Linked DNA regions of Drosophila melanogaster. The protein of the gene in region 1 interacts with the protein of each later gene in a biochemical or structural test. Each region holds a gene or a part of one and is shown in the gene's direction. Other genes may lie near its edges.

Region 1 (5,022 bases):
CAACAAAAACGTTTCCATTTTCTGGAAGAATTAGATTTCTCAGAACTAAAATACATCAATTCATAATCGAGCAGTAACTCGAGCAGCAAACTCGAGAATGCAGAACGGAGGAAAAAACAATCATCGATGTCGAACAAAAACAAAACTGCGGGTTCCAACTTTCTGCAGGAGGAGGAGCTCCTGCAGGAGGTAACGAGAGCAACGAGAGGAGCAGAAGCCACAGAGGGGAACTGGCGCTGCCCCATTGCATACCCCACCATAACGTAGCAAGTTTGAATATACTCGTACCCGTAAGATTCCCGAGTATATTAGGTAGCAAAATTTTTACGAGCTCATTATGGCTCATTTCGGCGATTGTTGTGATCCTTTTATGCGCCTTCGAATGGCTTCAAATGGTTATGAGGCTATTTCTCTGTCATCCCCGCGAGTCCTTCGCACTCGTGTCCTTCCCCTGGGTCCCAAATGCGGGATAGCGAGTTTCTGGGTCCTGGATTCCCGACTCACGATATTTAGTTTGCAGTTGCGACTGCGATTTTTACTTTACTTTTGCTTTGCTCTGGGTCTTCTCGCCTTTTGGCTTCGCTTTTCCTTGGGCTTTTGGTCGCATATTTAGAAAATGTCGCCGCGTCTCCGAATGTGATTCAAGTGTTTGTCAGTGTGTGTGTGTGTGTGTGTATGTGGTGGTGCGTATCTGTGTTTTGTGCAAGTTTTTGTATCTTTCGCTTGTTGTTGATTTTTAAGACTTGGCACCGAAAATTTGGTCGGCGGAAAATGGCGCGAGCAGGGGTTGGAAAAGTAGAAAAGTAAATTTCTTCTTATAATAAGTTTATTTTGCAAACACTTGTGGCAAGCAACTTTGTTTGGTCGCCGTCGGTTTCTGGCTTAATCTACGAGCCGTTTGTGCGAATGTGGAAACTTTGACAAATATTTGCGAAACTTTCGCGAATGGCGCGGCGTTCTCGGTCTGCAAGACCCCGATCTATTTGCATTATGCATATGAATTTATTAGCATCAATTCCCACCATATTTACATTGACATTAATATCCCATTGAAAGTATTGGCGAACGGATTGAACATTTGGATTCGAATGCGAATTTGAATTTGAATAGGAAAAGGAAAACCGCAGCACACAAATTTTCCGGATCCCTGGCTTCTATTACCGTACAATGCCGAGTTGGGGTTGACTTATTATCAATAAACTAATGCTAAACACGAGACTTTTAATAAATAAAAAATAATGTCTTCATTAATATATTATAATTCGTTTTTAAAGGCCTAATAAAGCCTTTAAGTGATAAGTATCTTTTTATGCCATACCACATTGAATTAAGCTTATAGTTTTTGAGGTAAAGGTAAAAACGATTAATTTACTAATATTTTTCTAAATTGTGAAACAATTTATACGATATTTACTTCCATAGAAATTAAATTAATAATTACAATATTCCGACTATTCTAATAAATATATTTTTTAAAACAAAAACTTTTTTGCACTTCGTTGTGTGCAAATTATTCCCCAAAATATTGAACAATTAAATAATGACCAGCTTAAACTGAATAGAATTAGATACAAATAATTTGCGTAAGCCATATTCTAGCACAAAGATTGGGAACTGAAACTGTAGTCATAAGTGCGCTAAAACCGAGCAAATACGGGATGCGCATCGTTTGGCGTGCAACTGGCAACTGGCGGGCAGCCCGTCGAGCGTTTTTCGCCACTCAGTTGAAGGAAAATCAGCCCTCCTCCATGATGAATTTCCCGCGGCGAGCGCATTTTCCTTCCTCGCGAATGAATGAACGAGAGGCGCCCACCCCGATAAACTTAAACTGAACGAACACTCAAGAGAGAGCGCAAGAGCGCTCAAAAACAATCTGGTTTTGAGCGTTTCGCTGGCTCTCTGTTTCTGTTTTCCACTCGTTTTTAGGCCGAGTCGAGTGAGTTGAGTCGGCAGAGCAAAGTCAAAACACTGGCAACTGCGATTTGGTGCCACATTCGTTCGATGGCAACGGATTGGATAACAGGCGCGCGCTTTGTTTTATTATCCACATTATCAGCGGCATTATTGTTATTATTGGCCCTCAGCGCTTTACCGCTCGCCCACGCGTCCGCCCGTGAATGCCGCGCGGAAAAGTCGCTTTCCACTAGATTGGCGTCCAGATTCGAGGAAATCCGTCAGCAGACGCATTCGCGCCCGTTCGGTCAGCACTATGGCTAATAATCGTTCAAATCGTTAAAACCATAAAAATAATAATAATAATTGCAATAACAATAAACATAGTAATAATCGTAACGCTTACGAGCCTTTGATAGTGCCAAGGCAAGCGCAATCCAAGTATTCAAATTCGAATTCAATTAACAGCAAAGTGCAATTGGCTAAAAACCGAAACCAAAACGCAACAAAGTATACGAAACACTTGTGAAACCGTACAAACAATTGTGGAAAAAAATTTAAAGATTATTAAGATTGAAGTCTCAATAAACATTAGTGCTTAAATAAATTTAAAACGACCCGCGTGGAGAGTGCAATAAAAAGAATAACTTTTGAAATAAATATTTACCAAACAGAAAAATATTTTATAAATATTTAAATAAGTGAAAAACAAATTGGTTACTCTGAAACAAAGAAAATTCAAATTGGTGCTAAAACAAAGGAGAAAAAATTTCAAGAATATTTTACAAATAATAAGACATATTTAACTATATAAAACCAAACTTAATCAACAAAGACTTGGAGTGAAAATATAAAATAAATTTTAAAAAGAGTTTAACAAAATTTGTTTAAATCCAAAGGAGGCAAAGGAACAGCACAGAAAGCGAGGAAACACTCAAATAAAATCCGCCAAAAATCGCAGATCCCTGGAAACCAATTCGTGTGAAATCGGTCAAGCCCCCAACGACTTTTAGCCCGTCTCAGACGGAGCACCGCCAAGATTCTTACCGCCAGCAGCGCAATGAACTCGTACTTTGAACAGGCCTCCGGCTTTTATGGCCATCCGCACCAGGCCACCGGAATGGCAATGGGCAGCGGTGGCCACCACGACCAGACGGCCAGTGCAGCGGCGGCCGCGTACAGAGGATTCCCTCTCTCGCTGGGCATGAGTCCCTATGCCAACCACCATCTGCAGCGCACCACCCAGGACTCGCCCTACGATGCCAGCATCACGGCCGCCTGCAACAAGATATACGGCGATGGAGCCGGAGCCTACAAACAGGACTGCCTGAACATCAAGGCGGATGCGGTGAATGGCTACAAAGACATTTGGAACACGGGCGGCTCGAATGGCGGCGGGGGTGGCGGCGGAGGCGGTGGTGGCGGCGGAGCGGGCGGAACAGGTGGAGCCGGCAATGCCAATGGCGGTAATGCGGCCAATGCAAACGGACAGAACAATCCGGCGGGCGGTATGCCCGTTAGACCCTCCGCCTGCACCCCAGATTCCCGAGTGGGCGGCTATTTGGACACGTCGGGCGGCAGTCCCGTTAGCCATCGCGGCGGCAGTGCCGGCGGTAATGTGAGTGTCAGCGGCGGCAACGGCAACGCCGGAGGCGTACAGAGCGGCGTGGGCGTGGCCGGAGCGGGCACTGCCTGGAATGCCAATTGCACCATCTCGGGCGCCGCTGCCCAAACGGCGGCCGCCAGCAGTTTACACCAGGCCAGCAATCACACATTCTACCCCTGGATGGCTATCGCAGGTGAGTGTCCTGAAGATCCGACCAAAAGTGAGTGTCCACTGCAGCACAAGTCCACTGAAAGTCCCCCGAAATCCCATCCCTTCTGTCCTCATCCCTGCAGTGCCAAAGCTTTGTTGTTTTCCCAGTTGTTATCAAGCTCAACAGATTGCAGCTATGGCAACAAAAGTCATCCTGTGATTAATTGCCGTCTCTGCTCCAATTAACAGACAAGTCAACATGTAAGGCAATATAATGAAGAGCTCGAATCGATCATGGGAAAAACAGATAACAACTTGTAATGTAAGACATATGAAAGCAGGCAGAACAGACCTTTTTATGGCAGGTTCTTAGGGAAAAGACACAACACCTTATTGGCAATCAAAAACTTTAAGCGATTTAAAAAAAACAAAAACTAAGAATGTATTATGGTTATAGGAAGCCAAAAAACAGTCCTAGTTAATATTGTGTATATTCAAATTGGCTGAAAAGTTTAGAAAAAAAGATGTGATAATACTTGGTAAAAAAATTAAAAATTTTAATAAAAAATAGTAAAATTATATTCTTCAGAGGAAAAAAATTAGGACAAGTATTTTAGATTTATTAAGTGTTAAAAAGGCAAAAACCCCCTTGGCTAACTCAAAATTATTTTCCAATAATTCTATTTAAAGGCACCCATTTGCGTGGCCATAGTTTATTCGCTGGCCGCCAATTTCAGCGATTTAATCACTCTAAGCGAGATTTTATGGCTGTGATCTCGCTTAGAGTGATTAAATCGAGTGAAGAGCCATGAGTAGCTAAAATAAAAAAATAAAAAAAACCAGCTCAGACCCTTCGATTTCACCTGCTCCGCTCCGCGACACCTTGCAGCGCTACGTCTGCCTCATAATTTTCAACACTTTGTTTACTAATTTTTGTCACCTTTGCTTTTAATGATGCTCGGCGGTAATTGTTGCAGCGCTGGCAGCCCAAGTGAGCTGCAATTTGTGCAACAAGAGAGCGGCAACGAGCAGCGTGAGTTATGGCATGCGGCTTAAAAAGAGCTGCAAAATAGCAACGGAGAAGTCAAGAAATAGCAAAAGGCAGCAAAGGCAGCCACAGGAGTCGGCGAGAAAGGGCAAGAATCCTTTCAGGACACACACTGCGCGCAGAAGTCGCGCTTATTACGGTTAACTACGCCATTATGTAATTACGTTCAGCCCCTCACCGCTCGACTTTTCCACGGGTTTCAGTCACCAGCCGAGCGAGGCGAACGGCTTGCGTCTGGGCCGAGATTGCCGTTTGGGCCAAGAACAAAGCCAAGAGTAGGTCAGCCGAAGGAGGTCTAGGTGCTCGAAGATCGAACGTAAACTGC
Region 2 (5,863 bases), on another chromosome or scaffold:
AAATTGTAATTGGAACGCGAAGGTGTTGTCGACGTCCGCCACTACCGTCTATATATATATGTATCCATATTGTTGGGGCATGTGTTCTCGGCATAACAACCTTCTCTGGCGACCACAAAACGCACAACACTTTAGACAACCGTCAAAAATGTCAGAAATTCCCCAAACTTTTTGAGTATTTTCACGAATCGATAGATATGCATATTTGTAAGACGTGATTGTTGATTAAGTTCAATTTCATTTAATTATTAAGCAGAAATTAAGTGTAGTAAAATCAAATTAACTTCTAAACGTTTTTTTACTCATCTTCATTAGAGTCAACTTTATTAGTTTCTATAAAAACACTGCCAGGTGGTTTCGCTATAAAAAAAATATTGTAAACACCCGTTTTTAGCCAACTTGAATGTTTAAAGCCTGACTGACTCATTCCAATGTAACTTTGTTGACGATTCGTGGTTTTGGTATAACTTCACTAATCAGTGGTCAGAGTCCAAGTCAGGCTTTAAAAATATTTCCCAAGAACAAACGTCAAAGATAACGTAATTTCCTTTTATAGATCGTGTAACCTAAATATGTGTCATCTACCTTTACTGAGCTCAGCCTGGTTAAACTAATTACATGGTTATTACCATTTCTTAAAACTTAACCCATATTTTGTAAATAATAGATGGCTTAAGCAGTTATTTAAAATATCACTTTCGGTTGTAACGAAATGTGTGTGACGCACTTTGGCTTTTTACTACCAAATAAACAATATAATTTAAGCTTCATTTTCACTGTAATATTCCCAGTTTTCACTGCAATGCCCCTCTTCTCATTCTGCTAATGAATGGTTAGTTTTCTGATGCCCGACTATTCCGCGTGTCGCGTAATTATAGTCAACCTTCGATAAATCATTACTCCAAAACAAAACAACAAATAATATATGAAAAACGTGAAAATCCAACGCTGCACGTAGAAGCCATCAAGCTGAATCTAAGCGTCCGGCGGAGCACGTGTGATCCACGCAGCCTTGTCCACAGCGATTTCCATTTCATTTAGCCCGTTGGCGGCTATCGATCAAAAGCCAAAAGGGCGACCTTCACTTAATTGAGGCGTACGGCATGCTGAATGAGTCGGTTGTACAGACTGGTCTGGAAAATGCTAGGGGGATAACTATAGCCACCACCCACTGCCCGATCGCCCAACCACCCAACCACCCAACCACCCACTTCCGCCTAGCGTGCGCACAACCTTGTGATCTTGTTTACTGTTTAGCGACCCCCGAGCCGCAGATACACAGTACACAGCACAAAAAACCGAACCTGTCGCACTGGGGTGGCGTCATATAGCCAGCTATTTTCACCTTCTATGGGACGTCGTCGCGTTGGCCGCATGAATCAGCAAACCACGAACGGCGAGCCACCAGAAACCACCGCAGAAGCAGCAACAACACCAACACCACCGCGACCATCACCAACAGCACAGCCAGAAACACAGCCTCTTGTGAATCCCTCAGTTAGCAGAGCCCAGCAGAGTCAAGCCAAACCGATCGCTGATCGACCGACCGACCGACGATCACCAATGGGGGTTTCGCAGTGTGATTTCCAAAAAGGAAGAAATGCCCATTCCCGCGAGCCACGGGGGCGTATGAGTAACGCGGTGTGTACTTTAGGTACCGCTCACAAGCGTGAGCACGCACACACACACACACACACTGAAGCGAGCAGGTAGCGCATAATGTATACCCCTAGGTAGCCGCAATGCCAGTGCAATTGTATTGGTGCGGTCGTGTGGCTCGCGCTCGCGTCTCGCAGCGGCGATTTAGCCTACGAACCTGTCGATCAATCGTCAGTCTTCCGCCGAGAGCCCAGCGATAAGGTAGTCCCGCTACGCTCCGCAACATCCAGACGCAGTAAAGCAAATACTTATATATATATATACATACATATATATAGCGCAACCATCCGAAAGCCGAACGATCGATCTTCTGCTTCGTGCCGAGTCGTTTCGGTCTTTTAATCGCACTGCAGCCAGAACCTGCTGCTCATTCGCCTGCCGTATTTCGTAGCGTGCGGTTCTATCGCTCCGCTTTGATAAACCGAATCGAAATCTAGAGAACCCCCCCAGACACAATACCATTTTACGTGCTTCTCTGCGACGCTGCGCGAAAGTGAAACCACCAAGTGAACTTGAAAAAAAAAAAAACTGACAACTTGAGTTATTCTAAAAAAAGCAAAAAAGCAGTGAACTTATATTGCAAAGAGCAGCAAATTCAGATTTGCTGCCAAGTGAAAACCAAACTGTGCCTCAAACTCAACAAACAATATCTGACCGAAATGGTTACCGGCGTAACAGCAGCCAACATGACCAACGTTCTGGGCACCGCCGTTGTGCCGGCCCAGCTCAAGGAGACGCCGCTCAAAAGTGACCGTCGGGTAAGTTTCTTTCGAGAAAAATAAGACTCGAAAAAAAAAATCCAAAGCCAAAAACAAAAAACCCCGTCAATGGATTAAATCAGAACCTCTAGTTCCCCGAAATCTGTGGATTAACTGAAGCGAACCAAACCGAGAATTCCCCTAATTGAGAGCCACCCACTTCGAGCTCAAGTTGATTTCCATTCGCGACTGTGGGCGACTGGCCCCATCAATCCCGCTGCCCAAATGCATTTCCTTTTTAGCCATCTCCCACATGGCTGGCTGGGAATAAAAATACGAAAAAAGAAAAACACTCTGAGCCAGACCAAAAAAAGGCCGCAACTGCCGTCGGCGCGCCAACACAAAGCGAATTTATCTCGCGTCGCGTTGGTGGCATTTACTATATGGCATATGGCATACTACTCCGACTACACACACGCTCCATCCATTCATGAGTGCCGCCCAAAATTGGCTGGCGTAGCTGCCCACCAGCTCCCCAGATTCGGACTCGGATTCGGATTTGGCTGCCACTTGGCGCGTGCGTCGCGTGGTGGCTGCAATTGTCGGTCATCAGCCGCCGTTTTTGGCCATTCGAACGGCACCGGTTCAATGAGTTGGCCAGAAAAAAAAAAACTGACTTCATGCGAGTCCAAATTTGGCAACTTGTGCTCCCTAGATAATAATGTACCTAGTTATGGCATCTTCGAATTTCCCGCTCTGACCTTGTCACATTCTCTTTATTTTTGCTCATACCTGGTTGGTTTATTTATAGCCACTGCCTGTAATTTATAACCGCCAAACTATTTTTAAATAAATGCCTCGGCCGAGTGGCGCTATAAATAGAGCACGCGCCGTGCGACTAAATTTGGCCGCCAGCCAGTCAATCCGCTCCCCAACCTACGCCGCCTCCTCCTTGATCTCCTCCAATCCAATTGAAGACCCATGCAGCTTCCTCTATTTTTGGGTCGTTGCATGAGGTCAAATTAGCCGTGCAAAAGCCGTGACTAATCGATGTTTTTTTTTTCCATTTCTTGCCTCTTGCAGTCGAACAAGCCCATCATGGAGAAACGCCGACGTGCCCGTATTAACAACTGTCTCAATGAACTCAAGACTCTGATTCTGGATGCCACCAAAAAAGACGTAAGTATCTGACAAAAATATAAGTTTAAAGCCACAAATAAAATAAAAAAAACTACATATTTGAAATTATCTCAAATATTTTTTAAAAGTTTAAATCATTGACTAATTTCCAAATTATTTTCTCTCTCTACTTTTAGCCGGCTCGCCACTCCAAATTGGAAAAGGCCGACATTCTGGAGAAGACAGTAAAGCATCTGCAGGAGCTGCAGCGCCAGCAGGCAGCCATGCAGCAGGCCGCCGATCCCAAGATTGTGAACAAATTCAAGGCCGGATTCGCCGACTGTGTGAACGAGGTTAGCCGCTTTCCCGGCATCGAGCCCGCCCAGCGTCGTCGCCTGCTACAGCACCTGAGCAACTGCATCAATGGCGTTAAGACAGAGCTGCACCAGCAGCAGCGCCAGCAGCAACAGCAGTCCATCCACGCCCAGATGCTGCCCTCGCCGCCCAGCTCGCCGGAGCAGGATAGCCAGCAGGGAGCAGCGGCACCCTACCTCTTTGGTATCCAGCAGACGGCCAGCGGTTACTTTCTGCCCAATGGCATGCAGGTGATCCCCACCAAGCTGCCCAACGGTAGCATTGCCCTCGTGTTGCCCCAGAGCCTGCCCCAGCAGCAGCAGCAACAGTTGCTGCAGCACCAACAGCAGCAGCAGCAACTCGCCGTCGCAGCAGCAGCAGCGGCCGCAGCAGCAGCACAACAGCAACCCATGTTGGTCAGCATGCCCCAGCGTACAGCCAGCACCGGATCCGCCAGCTCGCACTCCTCCGCCGGATACGAGTCGGCGCCCGGAAGCAGCAGCAGCTGTAGCTACGCCCCGCCCAGTCCGGCCAACTCTAGCTACGAGCCCATGGACATCAAGCCATCGGTCATCCAGCGCGTGCCAATGGAGCAGCAGCCCCTGTCGCTGGTGATCAAGAAGCAGATCAAGGAGGAGGAGCAGCCCTGGCGGCCCTGGTAGAGGGTGTCTGCATATGCATATCATATAGCATAGCCACCCCTATCGAATCTCCCGCTTTTAAGACTGACCCCCCACAACTCATCCAACTCGCACACATGCGCAGGCGTTGTGCGCATGCGCGTAGACATTTCACATCATTCGCCGGGATTGCGCAAATGTTGCTTTGAAGTGTTGCAAACATGCGAATCCTAAACTCGGTTCACAACTTCGTTGGCTTAGTTTCCTGGCTTATATCCTGGAAACCCGTCGACGAGGCTAAGGACCTTCATCAGACGCACCCACACACAAACACACACACGCAAACGTTGTTATAATTTATTTATTATTATATTATGTAATCGATTTGAGAGAACGGTATTCTACCAGGACATCGCCAAACTACCTCAGTCCAAGTACTTGGTGTTGAATTGCCTCATGTATCATGTATTACTCTTTGAATAACAGCAAATCAGCAAAAGTCTTCCAAACACAGAAAATGAAAATGCGAAAATAAGCACCTGAAAAGCTGAAATACTTTTTATGAAAAAGATAAACGCAAAAGCATAACTCTTACACATAGTCGTACATCTCCATTTAAGTATAGGTTTTGTACCATAGCCAGCTAAGCCGCTTAGGGTTTCTCTCGCTCTTAAGTCTAATCAAAGAATAATTATATTTATAAAACACACAAATCTATTCGTAAGGCCACGTGATATAGTGAACATAATGAGCTTCTAAGAAAACAAAACAAGAATTTGATGCAAGCAAAAGCAAAAAAATCAACAAGAAAGAAAAAACAAACAAACAACACACTAAAAAGAAATAAATTTAAAAGATTCTACTAAAAAATCAAATACGCAAAACGGATTTGTTATTGTGGTTGGGGTATCTTTTCCTGGGTTTTTTTTTCATTCGGGTGAAAGTCCCATTATGGTTCTTTTTTTTGTTTTAGAGGTCAAACGCTTTGAGTGACAGGAAACTTATCGAGCCCCCCGACTTATCGTAGCAAATTTCGACGCTAATTATTATAATGCCAATGGTGAAATTCATTTTGCTGGAGAGGATCGGCGGGGATTTCGACGATAATACAACTACGTTTTAAGGGGCTCGATTATGTCCGTTTCTGCTAATATAATCGGCACGACGAGTTGAAGGTTTTTCTGTGGCCAGACCGTAACGGATATAGATATATGTGCATCATAAACATTATATAGGAATGCCTTGATTTTCACACATCCGTTCGATAGGCCAGTAATTCGAAACAGTTGTGACGAAATAAATACTTATTATAATCCTTTGATCGATAATATTTTAAAATATTTTGCAATTTAATCATTGGTTATTCCAATCGAAGTGATCAGCAAAAGTTAAGGCGCACAAGGGTATATTTTA
Region 3 (6,041 bases), on another chromosome or scaffold:
CAGTGGTCGGGATAAATATGTGTCTTAGATACAAATCGATTCAATGGGTTGTTGATGATTAACTATTACTTACCACCGTATCTTTCAAAAGTCATATAAGATTTTGTTTCCCCTCCTTTGGGGTGCGCAATGCCAGTTCGCAAATTAGACAAAGATATCGTACTCTCGGGTATTCTTTGTGAAGTCAATCGCAAATTGACTTGGAAAATATATATGGATAAATCAAAATCAAACAAATCGCACTGCCACGGGAAATCGATAACTTTTTTTTTTTTTGATAGCTCTGATTCCGTGCTAATATTGAAAAATATTAGTAACGCTTTTAACGCGCTTATGTATCGCAAAAATTGAAATTTTTGGTCTCTCAACTATTCTGCAAAGGGAAAGAAAATAAAATTAGGAATGCGCATGAACGAACATATGTATACCACTCCGTACTAAGTATTTCTTACATTACTTTAGTTTAGCTCAAATTTACTTATAATTTCGAAGGAAAAAGGTTAATTTAACATTCAAGTATATATATATTTTACATATATATCTTTTCCTATTACTTATGTATTCAGTACTTTTGTATAATGGCCATAAAAAACACTGTTGAAGCGTGATTTTTGTGTAAGCACGAAGTAAAGTAGCTTTATGCAGATATACACTAGACCCAACGTTACAAAAATTGTGGAAAACTGAATTATTTAGTATAGATATATATAAATGTACATTTTCATGCACGTATGCATTTACATATGGATGAAAGCCACGCCATTTAAACTTTTGAGGTTGTGTTCGTTTTGGTCACAATCACTTTTCAATACCTTTTCCACAAGTTTTCTATAAAGCGTTTCTGATCACAATGAAAGTAAATTAATAATTTTACTGAATTAACCGTTTAAGAAAAGATTTTCTCCGAAGTCCACGAACATACGACTAAACGTCACAGCACAATATGACCATAACGACTTTAGTGGGCTGCAGCCTATCACTATCGATTGGCCGAATATGATGTGAATGAATTTTAGCCTTTTCACACTTTCACTTTTATATAATTTATATGGTATTTATTAAAATGAAGATATGTAATAATACGCTTAAAAACGAAAGACCATTTTTAAAAATGAAGTTGACTAAAATAGAAACAAATATATGTGTTATATAATTAAACGTAGTTCCAATCAGCCTTTTAAAATATATGTTATAAGAGTGGATCATCTGTATTTCTTCTATATTCCAATACCAATATACCACATTTTTTGTAGAGGATATCTTATTTATTTTATTGAAAAAATGTTTAAAATATTATTTCAAGAGCCACATTTTAAATAGTATCGATACCCAACTCGCAGTGAGTAAGCACTAGAATGTAACTACGGGTAAGATATCGATTGTCCACGTTTTCACTAGCAAATATAAATTGCATTTTATGGAATACTTATCGATATTCTTACAGTACTGGAAAACTTTTTCATATCGATTTATTTTTCTGCGTATACAGAACGTACTTTCGTTTCATTGTTGTCCAAAAAAGATAATAATATTATATACTTGCGGTTATTTACAACTGCAAGTAATGTGTCACTAATTTTTAGTGAAAATAACACAAAATACGACTTGTACGGCAAATAAGTATACGAGGCAATCACGATAAATAAAAAACCGTGAGTATGGAATTTCAAGTGGACGCTTCTCAATACTTACATGCACATATATCGATGTGTGGATATGTACATACACCTTGTTATAAACAGTTTAAATCTTTTCTGACGTAATAAAATCTCAAGAATGTACATGTAAAACCAACAAAATGTTTTCAAACTGCATTCAAATTAATGCTTAACCATAACCTTGTGTGTATGTAAATATAAACTTGGCAGGTTGATTTTTTTTTACCATTCTGCTGGCACTAAACATACGTACAAGTGTATGTATGTGATGCACTCGGCGTCATTTATCTGTACATGTGTAAAATGTAACGTTACCTGTGGTACACAGCAATAAATAAATAGAAATAAGTTCATAAATAGTTCGGGTAACTGCCCAGCTTCGTGCTACGCATCTGAGATACTTTTTCACCCCCAAAAAGATATGCCGCTTCATGAGATTGCGACAGGTGGAGATTATTGCATTTCCAATAGGATACCAAAATGTCTTTTCACTTTTGCTCAAATGTCTGGGGGATTATTTTGTGGTGGGGTTTGTGGGTTTAATGGCTTTGTTGGTATCTCTTCTATAGATATGATGAATTTTGTAGCAAAAGATTTAATTGGTGTATTTGTTTTCAGTTTGTTAAGTATACATTAACTCAAGTTTTTACTACATTTTTAAGGGTTTCAAACTTATGTTTTTATATAAAAAAGAAATATTTATTAAATAATAAAACACTAAAAAATCGAATTGGTAGAAAAAATATTGGGTTATTTCCTTTTTTCTTGCATGATTTTAATATTTGATGTTTAATATTATTACAGAAACTTGGATTTGTAGCTTGCTTTGTGTTGCGGCACCATGGAGGACCCCAATCGCATGTTGGCCCACACCGGCGGCATGATGGCTCCGCAAGGATACGGCTTGTCTGGCCAGGATGATGGCCAGAATGCCGGCAGCGAGAACGAGGTGCGCAAGCAGAAGGACATCGGCGAGATATTGCAACAGATAATGAGTATCTCGGAGCAATCACTTGACGAGGCCCAGGCCAGAAAACATACACTAAACTGTCACCGAATGAAGCCGGCACTTTTCTCTGTACTTTGCGAAATCAAGGAGAAGACCGGTAAGCTTAAAACCCTATATTTATCTCTCATTCAAGACCATCAAATAAGTTGAAATGGTATTATGGATTTTGTGATTTGCTTGTGATACAATTGATTTACTAAATCAAACACAATTCTTAACGTAATAGTCTTAAAACGTTCAGTATGAAATTATTTTTATCATTCGTCTTCTTCGTTAAAACTATTACAGTCCTCTCGATTCGCAACACCCAGGAGGAGGAGCCCCCAGATCCGCAACTGATGCGCTTGGACAACATGCTGATTGCCGAGGGCGTGGCCGGACCCGAGAAGGGCGGTGGCGGAGCAGCGGCTGCCTCTGCGGCTGCGGCCAGCCAGGGCGGTTCCCTGTCCATCGATGGTGCTGACAATGCCATTGAGCATTCCGACTACCGTGCCAAGCTGGCACAGATCCGTCAAATATATCACCAGGAATTGGAGAAGTACGAGCAGGCATGCAACGAGTTCACCACGCATGTCATGAATCTTCTACGCGAACAGAGTCGCACGAGGTTGGTGTATATAGATAAATGCAAAATGATGGCCATCATTTGGGTAATATAATCGTATTTCAGACCCATTACACCAAAGGAAATCGAGCGAATGGTGCAGATCATCCACAAAAAGTTTAGTTCCATACAAATGCAGCTGAAGCAGTCGACCTGCGAGGCTGTAATGATACTTCGTTCGCGTTTCCTGGACGCACGCCGCAAACGCCGCAATTTCAGCAAGCAGGCATCCGAGATTCTCAACGAGTACTTCTACAGTCACTTGAGCAACCCATATCCATCCGAAGAGGCCAAAGAGGAGTTGGCACGAAAGTGTGGCATCACGGTAAGTAGTGTAGGGCACATTAATCAACAATGCAAATCCGATTGCAGCATAGTAAATAAAACAAAACACACTCATGCAGGTCTCGCAAGTATCGAATTGGTTTGGCAACAAGCGTATTCGCTATAAGAAGAACATTGGTAAGGCACAGGAGGAGGCCAATTTGTATGCGGCCAAGAAGGCGGCTGGTGCTTCACCGTATTCCATGGCCGGTCCACCCAGCGGGACAACCACACCCATGATGTCACCCGCTCCGCCACAGGATTCCATGGGCTATCCAATGGGCTCCGGCGGATACGACCAGCAGCAACCGTACGACAACAGCATGGGCGGCTACGACCCAAATCTCCATCAGGATCTAAGCCCCTGAGGATCAGGGCTGTGAACCACTCCCAGTCCGGAGAATCCCTCATACAGTTGCGGTCAAAATAACTGCGCTGAAAAATCTAACATGCAGTTTTTTCATAATTATGCGGCTTATATTTGCTTCTTCGCCAAGAACAACAATTCTTAAGGGATTTTTAAATTCAGCTTTCTGTCCTTTGGTTTCGAGTCAGATAAGTTTAAAATTCCCATCAATTTAGATATAGTTCCGATAGATATACATAAATACGTGAGTAGAATATAAATACGTAATAGTTAGTTTGTGCTTGCTACATTTTGGTTGGCAGAAAAAACTTTGCCTGCTTAAATCAAAAAAGAAAGTAAATAAGCTGATATGGTTTTTTAATTGACACAGTCTCCTGCTTTTTAACAATATATGCATGCAGGATGTATTAAGAAGTCGACAATTGAATAATGGCCTAATTAAGAATATTTTTTGCCCGAACATAAAACGAAAAGTTTGCTCGCTTTTTTTTTTTAATTCACAATCAATTGAAATGGAAAGCATGTTGTTTGTGGCATGTCAACTGTAAAATACATAAATACGTAATAATTCGCTTAAGCGATTATAATTTGATCAACGTTCTTTAAAAAGGGTTAATAACCAATGCAGTGACTTTTTCTGCATAGCCCCATTTAGCTTATATATTAACCATCGAAAACATATGCAAAGAAACTCGATTAAACTGGTAGTATACGAATATTTTCACAACGAGTGGAGGAGGCACAAGTTTCAGAGCTATTATTTTGACCGCAGCTGTGTATAAATATATTTTAATACATTTACCTACATTTGCGGGTATATACAAATATTGCATGTAAATCATACTATGACGATTCTTTTTTGGCTACAGTACGTATACGACAGCAAAATAGTGTTTACTGAATTTAAAACTGTACGAAATTTTTAAAAACTTGAACAATACGAAAATACGAAACTAAACCATGTATACGATGTATATCAAATAAATAAATAATACATGTTGTTGTTATCCGCACACACGTCAACTAATTACAAAAATATTTTGAATGTAAAAACGGAAAAGAAAAGTCTTGGATAAACAAAATGTCACATTTCTATCGAAGGACGAATTGTATTATTTAACAGCTTATAACATTTAATAGATTTATTAACGTGTATTTTAAAAGTCTCAAAACAATTGTTTGTTTCTTACATCCTAAAAAGTATTAAACATTAAATCTTAATGGATTTCTTGCTATAAAAACGAACTTCCCAACTTAATTGCATTATAAAATCAAGAACAAATTCGTCTTTCGCTTAGTAAGAAGTGTACACTACTCTTTGCCCCCAATTAAAACGGATATGAAAACAGATTATTTGAAAGTATACAAAACGATTATAATTTTAAATGATAAATAACATATGTCTTTGACAGACTTTCGCTCACATTACGGTCAAATGAAACCATTCAATGTATTTCAGTAAGTAAGGTACTGCATTAAACATTTTGGATAACAATAGAAAAATATATAAATACACAACTTTACACAAATAACTTAATAAATCAAAACGAAGTATTAATTAATGGTTTTTTGGGAGTATTAAAGAAAAGGGCGTTATCCTTTGCAGATAATCTATACACGTAATAGAAAGAGATGGAGCATCTGTAGATACACTTGCTCTTCTTTAATTAAAACTATCTGGCTCACAGATAGAAATCATTCTTTTATGTGGGGTTGGTCAATAAAAACAGAAGAATTTTAATTTTTTAGATTTTTGGCAGCTGTAAAACAGACAAAAAATTTTAATTTTAGGCGTATTTTATTTTTATTATGGTTCATTACGGCTTAATGTACTTCACCCCACATCTTACAGTTATTCCCAAAAGTGTGTAGTAATTTATATAAATCACTTTGATCGACCAATTTTAAATTTATAAATAATAAAGTAGAAATTTTAAAAAAATTCACCCGCTGCCCCAATGCATTCCACAATTTAAGAACACGTTCCACTTATCTAGCACTCAATCGCCGCTACCTTGACGCGCATGCTGGCACTGCCCGGAATACTTTGAATTGTCAATACGGCCACACTGTTGGCAA

Evidence for each region.
Region 2: the proteins of Ubx (region 1) and hry form a complex in vitro, tested with the Drosophila melanogaster proteins (one study listed by BioGRID).
Region 3: the proteins of Ubx (region 1) and exd are reported together in a solved structure, tested with the Drosophila melanogaster proteins (2 studies listed by BioGRID).

What each region holds. Positions count from the first base shown.
Region 1 is NT_033777.3:16,731,395-16,736,416, reverse strand, and holds the start of Ubx (ultrabithorax), read left to right. Parts: upstream 1-1,990; 5' UTR 1,991-2,953; coding exon 2,954-3,719; intron 3,720-5,022. UniProt on the Drosophila melanogaster protein: Sequence-specific transcription factor which is part of a developmental regulatory system that provides cells with specific positional identities on the anterior-posterior axis. Binds the consensus region 5'-TTAAT[GT][GA]-3'.
Region 2 is NT_037436.4:8,673,932-8,679,794, forward strand, and holds hry (hairy), read left to right. Parts: upstream 1-1,827; 5' UTR 1,828-2,318; coding exon 2,319-2,417; intron 2,418-3,440; coding exon 3,441-3,536; intron 3,537-3,673; coding exon 3,674-4,492; 3' UTR 4,493-5,322; downstream 5,323-5,863. UniProt on the Drosophila melanogaster protein: Pair-rule protein that regulates embryonic segmentation and adult bristle patterning. Transcriptional repressor of genes that require a bHLH protein for their transcription (e.g. ftz).
Region 3 is NC_004354.4:15,991,010-15,997,050, forward strand, and holds exd (extradenticle), read left to right. Parts: upstream 1-1,690; 5' UTR 1,691-1,915; intron 1,916-1,926; exon of another isoform or gene 1,927-2,104; intron 2,105-2,462; 5' UTR 2,463-2,499; coding exon 2,500-2,764; intron 2,765-2,955; coding exon 2,956-3,274; intron 3,275-3,337; coding exon 3,338-3,596; intron 3,597-3,675; coding exon 3,676-3,963; 3' UTR 3,964-5,500; downstream 5,501-6,041. Other genes in the region: CG46312 (uncharacterized protein), read right to left, coding at 74-95. UniProt on the Drosophila melanogaster protein: Transcription factor which acts with the selector homeodomain proteins altering the regulation of downstream target genes such as wingless (wg), teashirt (tsh) and decapentaplegic (dpp), thus affecting segmental identity.